Neurospora crassa OR74A: one gene and its partners. The main gene of each other region encodes a partner of the protein of the gene in region 2 in a complex. Links are inferred from orthologs where the notes say so. Each region holds a gene or a part of one and is shown on either strand. Other genes may lie near its edges.

Region 1 (5,149 bases), on a different chromosome or scaffold from region 2:
AGACCGGTCATCTGGGCGCCGATACCGATGCGGCCCTCGTTGAGGATGCCAATGGCGTACTTGTAGCCCTCGCCGACCTTGCCGAGAATGTTCTCCTTGGGGACCTCGACGTCGTCAAAGTTGAGCACACACGTGCTGGAGGCCTTGATGCCGAGCTTCTTCTCCTTCTTGGCGATGCTGAAGCCCTTCATGCCCTTCTCGACGATGAAGGCGGTAATACCGCGGTAGCCCTTGCTGGGGTCGACATTGGCGAAGACAATAAAGAAGTCGGCCTCCATACTGTTGGTAATCCACATCTTGCTGCCGTTGATCTTGTAGCCGTTTTCGGTCTCGACGGCGCGTGTGGCGAGGGCGAAAGCATCAGAGCCGGAGACGGGCTCGGACAAGCAGAAGGAACCGACGGTGTTGGTAGCCAGCTTGGGGAGGTACTTCTTCTTGAGCGCCTCGCTACCCCAGCGAATGACGGCGGTATTGACAAGGGTGTTGTGGACGTCAACCATGACGGATACCGAGGGGTCGATGCGGGCGAGCTCCTCAATACAAACAATGGCGGCGGTGAAGTTCATGCCGGCACCGCCGTACTCCTCGGGAATCTCGACACCCATAATACCCTGCTCGAAAAGCTGCTCGACAATGGCGGGGTCCATAGCCTCGGCCTCATCCATATCGCGGACCTTGGGAAGAATGACATCGTTGGCGAACTTCTGGACAGTCTCAGCCATGGCGGTCTCAACCTCGGAGAAGTGGGTAATGGGGGTTGGCGGCAGATCGGTTATGTCCCGGCGAGGGGAGGTGGTGGAAAGAGTGCGAGCGCTATGTCGGGAAACCAAGTATTAGCACATCGCCTTCTCCCTCTTCCAGCCCATCTCTTTTGAGACCAGACCAGGCATGAGACGAGATGACAAAACTTACCATTGGACGACGGGAGTTCTGGAGAGTCTGGGAGCGGAAACTGCCTGAGCCCTGCGGACGGCGGGACGCAAAACCCTAGTGAACGACTTCATTGTGTCTGATGCGTATGTGTGATGATTAAAGAACCGATCGGAAACCTGGCGCGAGTGCTGTCTAGGAAGAACGAAGAGGACAGAGATAATGGAAGAAAAGAAGGCGGAAAGGGTATCAAATGCTTGGGGAAGGAGAACTGGAGGTGTGATGGAACGAGCTTCGGGTACTTATAAGTCGCTGGGCACGGTACAGCGGAGCTAACACTAACGACCAGATGAAAGATGTACTTATGTAGCTCCGTAACGATGATCCGTGGAGTATTGGATGGAAGGCAACAATGACAGCGTGGGCTCAAAATAAGGTGAAGAGAGTCCCGATTTCTCTTGACCTTTGCATCGTATGCATCTCCTACACCTTCGATGTGTCTAACCTGTCACTATGCATTTGATATACAGAACAGATCATTATCGCAGAAGCCCACGCGGTATTCGAGGAGATAGGTGCGTACACCTTGATAGCAGGATACCTACGGGCAACCGGGACAAGAGCTCTACTGTTAGCTCTCTCTATCCCTCTCTCTCTCAGTAATTCAAAAGCCAAGCCAGCGGGTAACAAAGGTCAATGGCATTGGCCGGCACACGGCCGATATGCTGTGAACAGCTGGGTCAAGTGTCTCCCCCTCTGCCGAGGTAAGGTCTCCACCATTCACAAAGCTCCGAATCGGGCGGTCCTCTTAAGAGGTCATTTTCCCCACAAAGATTTCCTTGGCCGGGGTAAACGGTGGCCACGACAGGGATGCATTTGGGGGAGACACGGTAGAGACGGGACATCGGAGGAGGGGCACTCTCTCTCGAATGGACCTTGATGATGGCCGGGCACGGGGCACGGCGAGCGGTGACCATTGTTGCTAGACCGTGGATCGTGACTCGTTAATCGCGAATAGCAAACCATGGATCGTGAGCGAGAAGGGAAAACAGAGCCAGACGAGCGATAGAAATGGAATGATGAGGTGCCAACGAACGAGTTTCAGAAAACGAAGGGGAATGGAAAACAAATGCCATGTGACTGTCAGTTTGTCGAAGGCTCACAGCTAACCGATGATTGCCGCACACGACTCGGAGCTTACCCAATGGCTTCCGTCCCTCAAGCACGGCAGTAGGTACGTACCTCTGCTACCTTCTTGGCTCAGCTTATCTCCACGTGTGTCATCCCGTGACACGAAAAAAGTTCCCACACTGGTACCGCCCGCCGCCGCCGGCCCTGCGTGCGCCTGCCGGGCCCGGCCTGGGGAACCGCTATCCTGTACTGTACCGCGTCCTGTTGCGCGCCGCGACCGACCGAACTTGACGATTTCGGAGCATCCCGCCATCAGCAAGATCCACAAGATCACAAGATGGCGACGACTTTCTTGCGGAACTTGTTTTCGCAGGCGCAGCCGTCGCTGCTACGACGGCCGCTGATGCCATCGTCCTCTTCCATCCTTCCTGCTGCTGCGCGGTTGTTCTCCAGCACTCCGGCGCAGAATGCCACTCTTAACCAGGTCATGAGGGTAAGTGATGATGATGAGGCTATCCCCAACCCGCCTACCTCTACCTACCTATGCACCTATCACCACTTTGGTTCCCGTGCTACTACCACAGCCCTATGTCCCGCGTCCAATTCAATCTGATCAAAAGCTAACCACTCTTATCTTCATTCCTCCAGGGTTGCCGTAAGCCCCAACGTGCTCGCCACGCCGTCTCCCCCGCCCTGTCCTCCATCAAGTCTCCCGCGCTCAAGGGTGTATGTGTCAAAGTCGGCATCACGCGTCCCAAGAAGCCCAATTCGGGCGAACGCAAGACTGCCCGTGTCCGTCTTTCCACGGGTAAGGTCATCACGGCCTATATCCCCGGCGAGGGCCACAACATTTCGCAGCACAGCGTCGTGCTCGTGCGTGGCGGCAGAGCCCAGGATTGCCCTGGTGTGAGGTATCATCTTGTTAGAGGTGCTTTGGATTTGGTAAGTTTTTTCCTGAGAAGAAAAATCCCTAGATGGAGACCCCTGGATGGAGGATGGGAGAGAAGGAGAAAAAGGGGAAGATGAGTGTTTAGTTTGTGAAAATGATGTGCTGACAAAGAATGGTGATAAAACAGGCCGGTGTTGCTACTCGTATGTCTAGTCGTAGCAAGTACGGTACCAAGAAGCCCAAGAAGGCCTCTGTTGGTTAAGCAGCTAGCACAACAGAGCACAATTGAGATGATACCCCCCCTGGTTACATGGCAGTAGGATGATGATGATGTGATGTGAGCGTGGTGGAGGTGGTTAAGCTTCATCCATGTAGTTCATCATTCCGCATCCTAAACTATGTGTCCGTGTACTATAAGGAAATAAAAGGTGCATGACAGGATATCGGCGTCCATATTCCTTGTATTACGACTGTCGAAGACTGGCCATGTTCAAGATGATACAACACCGAAGACGAAATACTTCGGGGAAGGACGGAGACACTGGACCAACTGTGTTGCTGTCAGCTTGCCTTTTCACACCTGGCAATACCAGGGTTATCTCAGCAGTCGGTAACAACGAACCTAACCCTAAGTGATTGTGTCATGATTTCCTTAACGCCCCTTATAGCCCTTCCCTATCCATCAAAACACTCAGAACAGGCAGCTTCGTTTTTGCCCAACCTTTCCCATTTATAGGTCCATGTTTCCAGGCAATTGGGTTGTACCACCAATTGAGAACGAAAAAGTCATTATAACGATAATACATTCTAGGGAATGTCCGCTTTTGGTTTTATTTGCAGACCTGTTTTCCCAACATAAAGCCTTAATCCCCACACCCTCAGAACTGTTTCTTCTTCGCCTCCTTCTAATCCGACTGATCTTGCCAGCCTTCTGGCTTCGGAAGACCATTAAGCTCGTAGTACCTCGAAGTGCCTGATAAGTGATTGGGGTCAGTGGACGGCTCAGTAAGAGAAGGGAACTTCCGGGTAAGACTTACAAGAATACCCCTTCCAGTCAAAGTTCTCCTTGGGGTTGCAGTGGCACTTGCGGTCGAGACGGAACTGCTCTCCGGTGGGGCAGTGAGTGAAGGGAACGTGGTAGTAGGCAATGTCGTTGAAGAAGTGGATTTCCTCCTTCTTCAACATCAAGCCGGCGGCAATAGAGTGGACCGGGGCATCGCCCCAGCGCTCATAGAAGAAACCACCATCCTGATCCAGAGACTCGAAGTAGTCGGTGTAGGCCTTGGAGCGAAGCCAGTTGAGGCTACCAATCTCAAAGTTGGACCACTATAATAACATTGTTAGACTAAACTTGTCGCAAGCTGTGAATCCTCACGGAAAATACTTACAAAGTGGCACTTGTTGTAGGTCTTGCCACCATCGTCACTGAGGAAAGCCATGGAGTTGCCCTCAGCAATGTGCTCGGGGTGGTTCTTGATGAACTTGGTAACGCTGTCCCAGAGGGTCGGGATAGTCTCGAAGTACTCGTAAAGGCTGAGCACGAAGCTGTACTTCTTGTTATTCTCGTGCATGAAGCGGAAAGGATCGTAGTGGATGTCGCAGTGGAACTCGACGCTCGGCTCAACGCGCCAGTAGTAGTCGTAGTTCATCATGAGGGGCTGGCGGAAGAAGAAGCCGGACTCAAAGCGGCACATGTGGCGGTAGCTGATACTGTCACCGTAAATGATCTTGCGCTGTCTCATGTCCTCGCGAACCTTTTTGGCCTTCTCCTGGTCAATGTGAGGCGGGAACGACCAGTGCTCGGTCGGAATCTCGCCATAGTACGTCTTGCCGGACACAAGCGAGGAGGTAACCTTCTTGAAGGTTTCGTCAAATGGCTTGTCGTTGAGGAAGACCCAGTCGTAGTTGTAGCGGCGGTTGAAGCGGTCCTCGACCGAGCGGATCGACTTTGCAATTTCCCACACATCGCCGTTGCGAGCCAAGGTGACAAAGGTCGCGTTCATGCGAGGGCCGCCCTTAACCCCAGACAAGTCGTTCCAGCCCGGGTCATTCGGAGTCATGGCCAACGGGTACTGGGCAGGATCGTAGTCGGCGCCATTGCTCTTAGCGGGTGTCTTTTCATCGTGGGCGACTTCGGTGGTGCCTCCGGTGGTACTTCCGGCAGTGCTTCCGGTAGTACTTCCAGTCGATGGCTTCGAGTTTCCGGTGGATTGTTGGAATTTGCCAAAGTTATCTTTTAGGGGGGTCACGACGGATGAC
Region 2 (5,077 bases):
ACGGTCAAAAGCTCTGAACAAAACCTTGAAGATGGAGCCGTGAACAGGGATATCAAACAGCTTCATATCGTCGATGTACTTGGCCACGCGGGAGAGATCTCCGCACCGAACGCCGTAATATTTGACCAGAATGCTATACGTCCGAAGGTTCGGATGCATTGGTACCATCTCTTGAAAGCTGTGTTGCAACTCGGGAGCTTTCTTTGCAACCCGGGCCATCATCTTCAGCGCCTGGGTGATGGCGCGATCGCTGGCATAGCTCCGGGTTGGGAATGACACCTCCGACCACTTCGCGATAGAAGCCACCATGCGAGCATAAATACGCTCGGCCGCTGCTTCCTCGCCCGATCGCAACAGTCCAGATATGACGGCGTTGAGGACAACCGTGTCAATCATCTCGCCGGCCTCAACCATCTCCCGAAACGCGGCGCGCAGTCCACCAGTCTCCCTCTTGAGCCCAAAGAAATGGATCAAGCTTACGTGGTGATAGCGGTTGAAATAGTGCCCACGACTGACCATTTCTTGGTAAATCATTTCAGCGAGAGTGAAGTTGCCAGCCTTCGAGGCCACATCAAACAAAATGTTGAAGGTTACCTCGGTCGCCTTGATGCCAGCGTCGACTTCCATCTCGCGCCACAGTCTCATGGCAGACTGCGCCTGAGTTTCGGTGACAGTGCCAACATATCGGCTTGCAAAAGAGATGGCGCAATTCCACTCCCCTGCCGTCAAGGGCATGCTGCAGTTCCTCACATCCGCTATGACGGCGAAGTACCGCAGCATGGACTTGGAGTTTCTCCGCTGAGGCTGCCCTAATGCTTTTAGGAGCTGATGTCGCAATCGACCATTGATGTAGGGCATGCGCGGTTCCGGCAGTTGCTGGTAGAGGTCGTAGATCGTGTCAAGGTCAACCTTGTGTGGAGTGCGCAGCCGCACGAGTACAGCAAACCTGAGATCGCTCAGTGTGTGTTGGCCAAATTCGTCCAGTCCAACCACTTCGTCCGGGCCTGGATACTCGTAGTCATCTTCATTTTGTACAAAGGTGAACCGGGGCCTATCAGCGGGCGCATAATTATGCATGTAAGGATCGCGAATGAACTTGAGGTAGTCTTCGACCGTTCCATCTAGATCATGATAGGGATCTACCAGTTCAAGCAGCTCTTCTTTGGTGAGATGACCGAGCTTCGCACTGTGGGATTCGGGCAGCTCTTGTGATTGTGGGTTTGCGCCCGAGTGGGACTCGGTCGATAGATCGTCATGTAGCGCGGATGGGGCCGAGAAGACAGAGTCGGCGGGCTTCTGATCGGCACTGGGTTCGGGGGCAGCTGCGGCAACGGGGTCAGGGACCGGGGCTGCCGCCGCCGCCGCCGCCGCCGTGTGGCTCCGCTTTTGGGGAGCAGAGACCGAATAGCGGAAGAAGTTGGAGTCGAGTGCTCGTCTGCTGTTCGTGCCGGACAGACTGGTGGGAGTTACCCGCAGGGATGGGGTGGTCAGTAGCGGGCAACCGGTGGAGCCGCCTATGGGTCTCCTCGCGACCCCATCGACAAGGCCACCACTTTGTGAGCTCCAGCTGCCGTGGAAGCACCGTCGTTGTTGTACTGGGCCGAGGCCTGCTGTCGCAACCTGTCTTCTTCGTCCGCTGCCTTGGTCACCGAGCTGGATGGATGCTGTGGTTTGCGACACGGAACTGGTGGCAGCAATTGCGGTTGCGGAGGCGGCAATGGCAGACCAATTCCACGACGGACGATGCAAGAAGATGGTGCCGCATATCGACCCTTCAAATCGGCTGGAGACTTTCATGAGCTGCCGCCGTCCAACATGATGGCCTGCCCATTCAGCCAACCTTTTCTTGCCTGTTCCCCGCGAGTGTCGGCCGCAATTCGATGAAGAAGAGCTCAGAGAAGACGCAATCACAAGCTGCTGGCTGCTGCGCACTCGATTGGCACTCGATGCAATCGCGGTTACTGGCGAATTGGATCGTACTCAGGTCGATGTGGTCAGGGCGTCAGATTCGTGGAGGGCGGGGAAGTATGGGGAGAATGGGGAGAACTCGAGTCATGAAGTGAGGAGGGATGTGGCAGGAAACTGGGGTCGGGTGAGCGACGCGATGATTGAGAAAAAGTTGGGGTAGTGTAGTGGTGTACACTACAATACATGGACGAGGCACAGCTCCAGGTACCTTGCCGTGAGCACACCCCACCCCTGCCTCTACGAAAGAGGGGAAGCTGGAATAGGGTCCAGTCTCGGCCGGGCTCAAGACCCCCACTTCTGTTATCGATAAGCACCTAGCTAGGTACTTCCCTTCCCTTTGGTCGCTTAATGGCGGGGCGGGGAACTATTTTTTTTTTGCCGGCACGTCCTTCCAATTGCTCGCCCGCTCGCGGCAGGCAGGACAGCAGGTCGCGCGGGTTACCGGCAACAACTGAAGGTCGTGTCGGATCGTGCCTGTCTCCAAAAGGCACAGCTCCACTTTGGACAAAGCTAAGCAAATAGCGATAACGATAGGTTTGGCGGGTGAGGGAATCCATTGTGCCTACGCAGCGCAGCGCAGTGTATTATTATTACCTTACACAGGTATACACACCCCGTAACCTCGTAGCCTTGCCTTTGCCTTGGGAGGGTACCTGAGGAACGAAAGGACCGCCGAATCCGCCAATGGTCCTCTGATCTCAGCCAACACCACCGCTGCCGTCGATTATCACCAGTAATTCCCTCCACAACACCCAAACGCCGCCAGCGACGACCGGACAAGATGGGCAAGGGGCGCATCTTCCAGGCCGCAAAGGTCTACCAGAGGGCCAGCGAGGCTGCTGCCACCAACATCGTCTCTGGCCTGCCACCACGGAACCCACCACTGTGGCTCAAGGCCATCGAGTCCATCCCTCCCGCTGAGATCAACACCAGACCGTATCCGATCCAGCACTCTCCGCCGAACCCGCGAGCGCGCAAGCCACGCAACCTCTTTAGGCCCACCAAGATCGTCTATCCCGAAGATGAGTTGCGCCGCGACTTCTACCGCGACCACCCTTGGGAGTTGGCCAGGCCTAGGATGATTATCGAGTTGGATGGCAAGGACGCCCGTTTCCTTGACTGGTCCAAGGGCCTCAGGCAACGCGGCATCCCCTTGTCCGGCGAGAGGTACGTTGTTGGATGAGCGCATTGCACATGGCGCAAAAGCCCGGCGGACAGGCATGGAAATTGGATGCTAACCCGAATCGCAAACGATAGTGTCGTTCAACGTCAGCTCTGGCTTATGGAGAATCAAGGCATGACCAAGCAGGAAGCCTACGACAAGGCGCGCCACGAGTTCTACAAGTTGAGGCAGTTGGAGCAGATGGAGCGCAGGATAGCCGTCGAGGAGGCCCGCATGGTTGGTGGCTACTTTGGCAAGGACCTTCTGACGGTCGGCATGGAGCTCGAGAACAAGACGTATGAGAGTTGGAAGAAGTGGGCTACGACCGAGATCGCCCGCCAGGAATCTGCCAGGGCTTCCATGTACACCAATGTCGTCGACAACTCTGCGCTCGAGGAATCTGAGGAGGACGAGCTGCTCGCGCAGAATTAAGGCAACGAATTGGAGTAAAAGGGGAGGGACAGAGTGGTATAGCGTGGCTGATACCCATCCGTGTCGGGGAAAGACGATGCCGGCCCACTCGTGCACAAGTGTAAGAATATCACGTCTCTTTGTACATATAGAGAGGGCAAGAGACTTTGTAGAAGTACATGTGATTCAGGAGCCTGGTCGCCTATCTTCGAAGAAACCCGGCAGACACCGGCCCGATATACTGACTGCCCTTGAATATTTTCGCCAGACTCTCGTGCTGCACACCGACAACATCGGCAATGCCCGTTTTTAGAAACAACTTCCCCGTCAGACTCATCGTCTTGGACCTGGCCCAGGTCTCGATGTACACCACCTTGGCCCTGTTTTCGGGTACGAGGTAGAATATCTTGAGCAAGTGGGCCACCAAACACACAATAAAGCCGTTGGCAGGCCCATTTGTAACAATCACATGCGGGTATCTGAATCCCTTTCCATGATCCTTTGTTGACCGTGGGTTGGGCATCCGTGTGAGGGCATTGGCGGCATGAAAGGCGGATATGAGGCAGGTAAAGGGTGCCGTATAGAGCGGTTGATGGACCTTGCGCGCACGGCGGATTAAGAAGATATCAGAGGTGCCTGCTCGATCATCTTCTCCGGGATAGGCGTCCTTGATAGTCGCTTCCAGAAGGCGGGCCTTGCCGAGAGAGGAAGTGTCTCCGATGGAGATGATGTACCGCCGGTGGATGTTTGCCTGGCCGCGAAATGACTGCTTGATGGTCTCAATCATCTCAGCAGTGTGTCCACCAGAGCCAAGTATATATGTGAAGTAAATAGCAGGAAGAGAGGTGGTGTTGGGAACTTGTGTGCCAGCGGCATTGGGTTGGGGCGTATTGCTGGGGACGAGCCAGCTGCCACCTGGCTTTTGACGCCGGCGTATCATTTCAAAGTGCCGGTAGACAATAAAGGTACCAAGCACTATCCCGACGGTGATGACGAGGGAGATGAGCCATAGCCATGATAGACCAGAGAGGAGAAGCCCGGCTGCGGTGGAGGATGCTGCACCCGCAACAAAGGTGGCTGCTGTCAAGTTGATGCCGCTCACAGTCTCAACATGTAACTGAGAGTAGCTCTCAGCTCTGGTGTCGGGCTTTAGCTCTTGATCATTGCGCGATTCTTCCTTGCCCGCCAGCACGGACGCTGAAGTAGTAGGGGCCATTCTAGAGAGCCCCAAAGGTCTCTTCAAAATTCTATTGGTATAATTAGTTTCACATTCTTTGAATATGGAGTCTGGGTACTTGATGGTGTCACCTCGTCGAATCTTGATAACGTGTTTTGTTTGGAGGTTTCCTGAAGTCACGCCTTCCAAAATAAAGGGGCTAATAAACAATGACAAAAGGGGCACATCCAATTGGGGTAAGAAGGAGAGGCTTGTTTGGTGCCGTCTGGAGGTGAACATGTAGACTCGCTCATATAAGCCCCATGCCGACTTGACACATGTGTCTCCAGGTGAATGGGTGTTTTAGATCTGGCAAGATT
Region 3 (5,342 bases), on a different chromosome or scaffold from region 2:
ACAACATCACACTATGCATGGACCGGACTAATAGCTAGTGTCTTTTTCAACCTCTAGCCGATTCTCCTAGGCCTTTGAACAAGATTAAAACGAGCTTCATTGCGGTTGAGAAAGGTGGAAGACTCGGGCTTCAACGAGAAGGCAGCAACGACTCCGAGACGCCCACACAACAAGCCCCAGCCGGCCCAGGCGACATCACAAGTCCTTTTGCTCCATCAGAAAAAGCCAATGCCGTTGACCAGATTATGGAGAAAACACCAGCACCGGCGAGTCCCGAGGCGAGCCGTATACCGGCCGAGTCTCCAAAAGCGAACCAAAATGCTCAGAGTCCGATACACTCTGCTCCAGAACCACGAGCACAGAATGTAGAATCTTCGGCTAGCGCATCGGCGGAATCCAAGACGTTGGAGCTAGATGGGGCTACCAGCTTATCTACTACGGAGAGTGACTCAAAGTCAGCAGAGAAGACGCAGGCACCCAATGGAGCTGGGGCTGGCAAAGACAAAGAGACAGATCCCAGCAAGCCGGCGGCGCGGACCGTCCCGAAAACAACAACAAAATCGAACCTCCCACCTCTTTCAACGTCTTCGGCCAACAAGACAGTAGCTAAGCCTGCCAAATCCCCCATCACTGCTGAAACCCCCAAGGCGCAAAACCCTACGACCGCATCCAGTCAGACTCCGGGCAAGACCGCTACCCCGAAGCCTTCGGCGGCAAAGACCACGAAACCTCTCGGTTCCTCGCTGAACAAAAAGCCAGCGTCCTTGGCCCCATCTCCTGTCATCACCGGGAGCTCCAAGCCCAAGGCCAAGTCACCTACACGCCCAGCTGCTCTCCCAGAACGCCTTACCACTCATACGGCTGCTTCTGGTTCCAAGCTCGGCAATGCGCGCGCCCAGTCGCAGACTCGCGAGCGAGGTCCTACCCCGGCTAGCCGTTCCTCTAGCAGAGCGAGAGTGCCATCCTCTACTGTGTCGGCACCGAAAACGGCCACCTCGACCCTCAAGAGACAGAACTCGACCAAGAACCGGCCTCGCCCTAGTCTAGGTGTGCCTGTGAAGCAGACCGCGAAGGATCATCCGCCAACGAAGAAGGAGAAGGAAGTGGACGAAGGTTTTTTGGCACGCATGACGCGTCCAACCGCGGCATCCGCCTCCAAGACCGCTGAGAAGGTTGTCACATCGCCACCCAGGAGGTCATCGGCCACGCCCGGACCTGCCGCGAAGAGAAGTCTCAGCAAGCCACGGACCAAAAAACCTGCCACTAAATCTGCAGCACCATCTGCGGCTACGACACCGAAACAGTCTCGTGCTGGTTCAGCTGCGGCCAAGGCTGAGCCGGTTCCCAAGGCAGAAGAAGCTGTTGAGGTGCCCCTCCCCACTGTGACGGAGACTCCTCAAGAAGTTGCTCAGCCGGTAGAGGAAGCCACGGAAGCTCCCCAAACCCCCACTTCTGACGTTCATGTTGTTAAGGAGGAGATGCCAGCCCAGGAGACTGAAGCCGCCCCCTCGTCCGCTGCCGAGGTTGTTGATACCACCGATGCTGACATCTAGGAGCACGGCGAGGAGAAGTCTGCCAGCACTTCGGAATTTAAGCACACTTCTGATTCGTAAAAGGAAGCCAGAAATGGTGGATGTGATCGCTTTTTGGCCTGTAGAGTCTTTTTTAATCACCCCTATTACTTGTTCGAGACAGTGAAAGAGGGGGATGCAGTGTTACTGGGTTAGCACATTTCATGATACCTTTGTAGAAAGACCAATCACACATTTGTAAGAAAGTTGGCGAAGCATGAAGTATGAATGCATAGCAGATAGTGGGTTGTACAGCACCCTGGAGCAGGATGAATCGATCCCTTTTCTTATCAATCTTGGTGATATCTGTTTCCACGGTGAGTGCTGATGATTTAGTTGTCATGCATAGATCATAGCATACAGGATGCCAGCTCGTTGTCTTTCTTGGCCTCATACCTCATATTCACATAGCAAGAACCAAGGATGAGCTCTGCTTTGCCAATGTCTATTCCTTTCCATGTTTGTCCAGTCTTGCTAAGTCGTCTAGTGTACAATGGAATCACATCCGTATCGTACACTGCGCACAGAAATGGTTGGCTCCAGTTCAGGTTTGAGATCCTCCCAAAGTGCGGTGACTCTTCCTCCTCTTCTTCTATTCCTCTCGCTTCCTTCCCAACAATGCCTTCCTTTCACCGAATTCATGTCCTATCCCCACCGTCCATCCTTGAGACCCTCCTCCTTCTTCTTCTTCTACCCATCTATTTTACCTTGCACAAAACCAGCCCACCAACTTTCCTCTCCACTGCCTCCCTAACCTCCAACACACCTCTATCAGTGTTCACAAACAAACACTCGCCCAACTGCAACCCCTTCATGTATCCCGCGGGAAAGCCCCTCGCCACACGGTTCAGCTGTTCCAGGGAGGCAGTCACCAGCCTCGACGGCTTCGAAATCGGCTTCAGCTCCTTCAAGACGGGTTCCTCGTTCCAGTACTTGAGTCCCACCCACAACCGGCGCGTGGCCACGTTGGCACTGGTCACGGGCTCGGGCTCGTAGGTCATGAGGGCCTCGGGCGTGGGCGGGTGAGGACCGCCCCGCGTGATGGAGGAGATGAAGCCTGCGCGGTGCAGGGCCAGGGCCAGGGCGAGGTTGTACTTGGTGTTGGGCAGGGAGGTCAGGCCCAGGCGAGCGCGCGAGGCGTTTTGGAGGTGCGAGCACATGTTGGTGATTTGTTGAATGCCCATTTTGAAGGTTTGATGATGCCCGTGTGGGACTTTTGTGTTGCTGAAGAGAGAGAGAGAAAATGGTATGCACTGGGTGATGGGTTATAAAGAGAGAGAAGTCGGCCGTCGTCGCGTAAGTCGTCGGGTCGATCGGCTGGTATGGCTTGGTCCGTCCGGTGTAGAAGTGCTCGGGAGATGCGGCGGCGAACTGGGGACCTTGCGGGATGAAGAGAAGGATGATGCGGGATGAAGAGAAGGATGATGCGGGTGAGGAATCGGTGCTGCAGCGACGGGGCGTCTTGAGGTTAGTCTAGGCGTGCCGATGAAGATTCGCGGGACAGAAAAAAAAAAAAAAAAAAAGGAAGATTGCAACGCACAACCAATCGGGAGACCGTAGCTGTTGCGCACAGTCGGGTGGCCGTCACGGGTCGGTGGTCGTGATGGAGGAATTCGGACTTCGGAGGAGCCGTAAAAACAAGTGGAGGTTTCGGGACTCGCGAATGCGGCGCGCAACGGGGTCCGGATGCGAATTGCGGTTTCGAGGTCTCGATCGGGATGGCTCCGTTAGGTAAGTTGTGCTGCCGATTTTTTGTCCCCCTGCTGCTCTGTCCGCTTCTGCCGTACGGCACTACGTACGGGCTGGCGGGCGTGCGTGCGTTTGCTTGGCCGCCGGGGCCGTGTGGAGGACGGACAGGGATGGTTCGAGAAAAGACCTCAGGCTGAGCGTTGAAAGAGTGAATGACCTCGGGCAATGACCTCCACTGTGCCTTGCACGAAAGTCACTGCAAAAGAGACCCCTGCTGCCCTGAAAGGCCTCCCGTCCCTCCGCCAGAGAGACCAGAAGGTGTCTGTCCGGTGGGGCTTTCTTGGTAGCTCTCCAGGTTTATTGAGGATGGATCCTGCTTACCCCACCTTTTTTCTTGTCTTTCCCTCCCGCTCCTTTCCCTCCTCGTCAATTGTGAAAGAAGGACTGGAGAGTGTGACAATTGACTTGCTCGTGCTTCTTTCTTGGCATCCCACCTTAAGCGCCCAGGCGGACCATCCAGTGACCATCCAGGACGATGCAACCACCAGGCAAGGTCACCTCTACCGGCACTAGGGGTCGCATCACCGACCTATCGTGCGCGCTGGTTGGATGGCTGTGTGCTGATTGCGCCATGGAGTGAGAGCCGAATGTGAAGAACCAGACCACGGTCTCCTGCAAGGGTATGTAAGAGGTAGGGTACTATCGCAAAGACGCGGAAGCCGAGTGGCTTTTGTTTTCTTTGGGTTCCGTCATCTCTGATATTAGGCGTGATAGCCCTCGGGTGGGAAGCTGAGAAAGTTTGCTGTCTTTCAGTTCTCTCAATCCTTTTTACCGTTGTTGTGTTGTTGTGTTTGTTCACTCAAGCGAGTTCGTTGATCACAAAAGATGGCCGCCCGTGAGGGAGAGGAGAACGTCGGCACGTTGTAAGTTTGTCTTCCGTTGATCCCATAAAGAGGTGATAGTTCCTGGGCGCATTCTGACTGATTGATTCGCTGCATAGCTTTGGTGATATTCACTACTTCTACGGCCCTCCAACAAATAACCCGCCTCATCACAGGTTCGACAAGGGCTCCTATGTATACCTTTTCGAAGATGCCAACTTGGGCCGCGCACGGCTGGAGATTGCGAACCAACCTGGAAGGGAAGACCAGGATGCTTTCGATGGCTGTAAGCATTAGGATTTAGAGTGAGAGCTCGAGACGACAGTGGGAAGGCTAACATCATGTGTCGCCAGACCTCGACAAAACCCATCTCGAGTACGATTACAACCACACCTGCCTTGTAACTTTGACGGTTGGCGAGGTCGAGGGCTACGAGGAGTGGCATCTACCAACATACGACCCTCACAATCAGGCCAAGTACCATTACAAGCTTCACTCGCTCGACATTTACTTTCACAACCATCAAGATGCTCTGCAATTCGTCAATGGCATCCGACGTGTGCTCCCTCCGCACCAGTGCGATGTCCACAACGAGCCAGGACCACCACCTCGGCACGATACCGAAGTCAGCGCGGTAGTCCAGCAACTCGAGAGGGCAGCAATCGCTGACCACGGTACACCCCCGACCACTTTATCACAGCCTCCGCAAGTTGGCGCAATCCAGTCTTTTGCTCCGCCGCCCATGTCTGCAGTGTCTGCTTCCCACGATCACTCGACACCATCGCCTCAAGCATTTGTTCCGATGGCCTATAACCCAGCCGCGCCACCTGCCGCCGAACCCGTACGGTACCGCGAGAAGACGCCTCCCCCAGAGGATGCCGCGGTGAACCCGTTGCACCAGACTCTGGCCTACGATGCGACCACTCCCTTCTCACCAGGCCTGCCTCCCCCCAGCGGCCGCGGACCTTTGAGCCCAGGCATTCCTCCGCCAAACCTACAGCACCCGCCTGGAGCTCCGACCTTTGCTGCTCCTCCCCAGCACAGCGTGACCTCACCCGGCTTCGCGCCCCAGGGATTCGGCGCGCTTGGAGGCGGCTACCCGACAGGCCTCAGCCAACCGCCCGTACATCCCGGAGTACAAAGGTCTGTCACCATGCCTGGTGGGCTCCCCAGTCCCGGTCTCGTCAGCCCTGGATTTGCT

The links. Proteins that work in one complex are often made in the same cells at the same time.
Region 1: NCU03343 (region 2) and NCU06542 share a complex: the UniProt entries of both Saccharomyces cerevisiae proteins name them as parts of the mitochondrial small ribosomal subunit. The link is inferred for Neurospora crassa OR74A from reciprocal best matches to the Saccharomyces cerevisiae genes RSM25 and MRPS12.
Region 3: NCU03343 (region 2) and NCU02951 share a complex: the UniProt entries of both Saccharomyces cerevisiae proteins name them as parts of the mitochondrial small ribosomal subunit. The link is inferred for Neurospora crassa OR74A from reciprocal best matches to the Saccharomyces cerevisiae genes RSM25 and MRPS8.

What each region holds. Positions count from the first base shown.
Region 1 is NC_026504.1:1,583,043-1,588,191, reverse strand, and holds NCU06542 (putative mitochondrial 37S ribosomal protein MRPS12), read left to right. Parts: upstream 1-2,195; 5' UTR 2,196-2,338; coding exon 2,339-2,494; intron 2,495-2,649; coding exon 2,650-2,943; intron 2,944-3,077; coding exon 3,078-3,152; 3' UTR 3,153-3,333; downstream 3,334-5,149. Other genes in the region: NCU06543 (acyl-CoA dehydrogenase), read right to left, coding at 1-813, 913-1,004; NCU06541 (alpha-1,2 mannosyltransferase KTR1), read right to left, coding at 3,796-3,863, 3,928-4,216, 4,279-5,149. UniProt on the Saccharomyces cerevisiae protein: Component of the mitochondrial ribosome (mitoribosome), a dedicated translation machinery responsible for the synthesis of mitochondrial genome-encoded proteins, including at least some of the essential transmembrane subunits of the mitochondrial respiratory chain.
Region 2 is NC_026502.1:1,033,749-1,038,825, reverse strand, and holds NCU03343 (mitochondrial 37S ribosomal protein RSM25), read left to right. Parts: upstream 1-2,409; 5' UTR 2,410-2,749; coding exon 2,750-3,135; intron 3,136-3,225; coding exon 3,226-3,562; 3' UTR 3,563-3,743; downstream 3,744-5,077. Other genes in the region: NCU03342 (hypothetical protein), read right to left, coding at 1-1,797; NCU03344 (hypothetical protein), read right to left, coding at 3,744-4,757. UniProt on the Saccharomyces cerevisiae protein: Component of the mitochondrial ribosome (mitoribosome), a dedicated translation machinery responsible for the synthesis of mitochondrial genome-encoded proteins, including at least some of the essential transmembrane subunits of the mitochondrial respiratory chain.
Region 3 is NC_026501.1:8,604,487-8,609,828, forward strand, and holds NCU02951 (mitochondrial 37S ribosomal protein MRPS8), read right to left. Parts: upstream 3,547-5,342; 5' UTR 3,112-3,546; intron 3,016-3,111; 5' UTR 2,756-3,015; coding exon 2,270-2,755; 3' UTR 1,817-2,269; downstream 1-1,816. Other genes in the region: NCU02952 (hypothetical protein), read left to right, coding at 58-1,553; NCU02950 (hypothetical protein), read left to right, coding at 4,146-4,183, 4,261-4,427, 4,495-5,342. UniProt on the Saccharomyces cerevisiae protein: Component of the mitochondrial ribosome (mitoribosome), a dedicated translation machinery responsible for the synthesis of mitochondrial genome-encoded proteins, including at least some of the essential transmembrane subunits of the mitochondrial respiratory chain.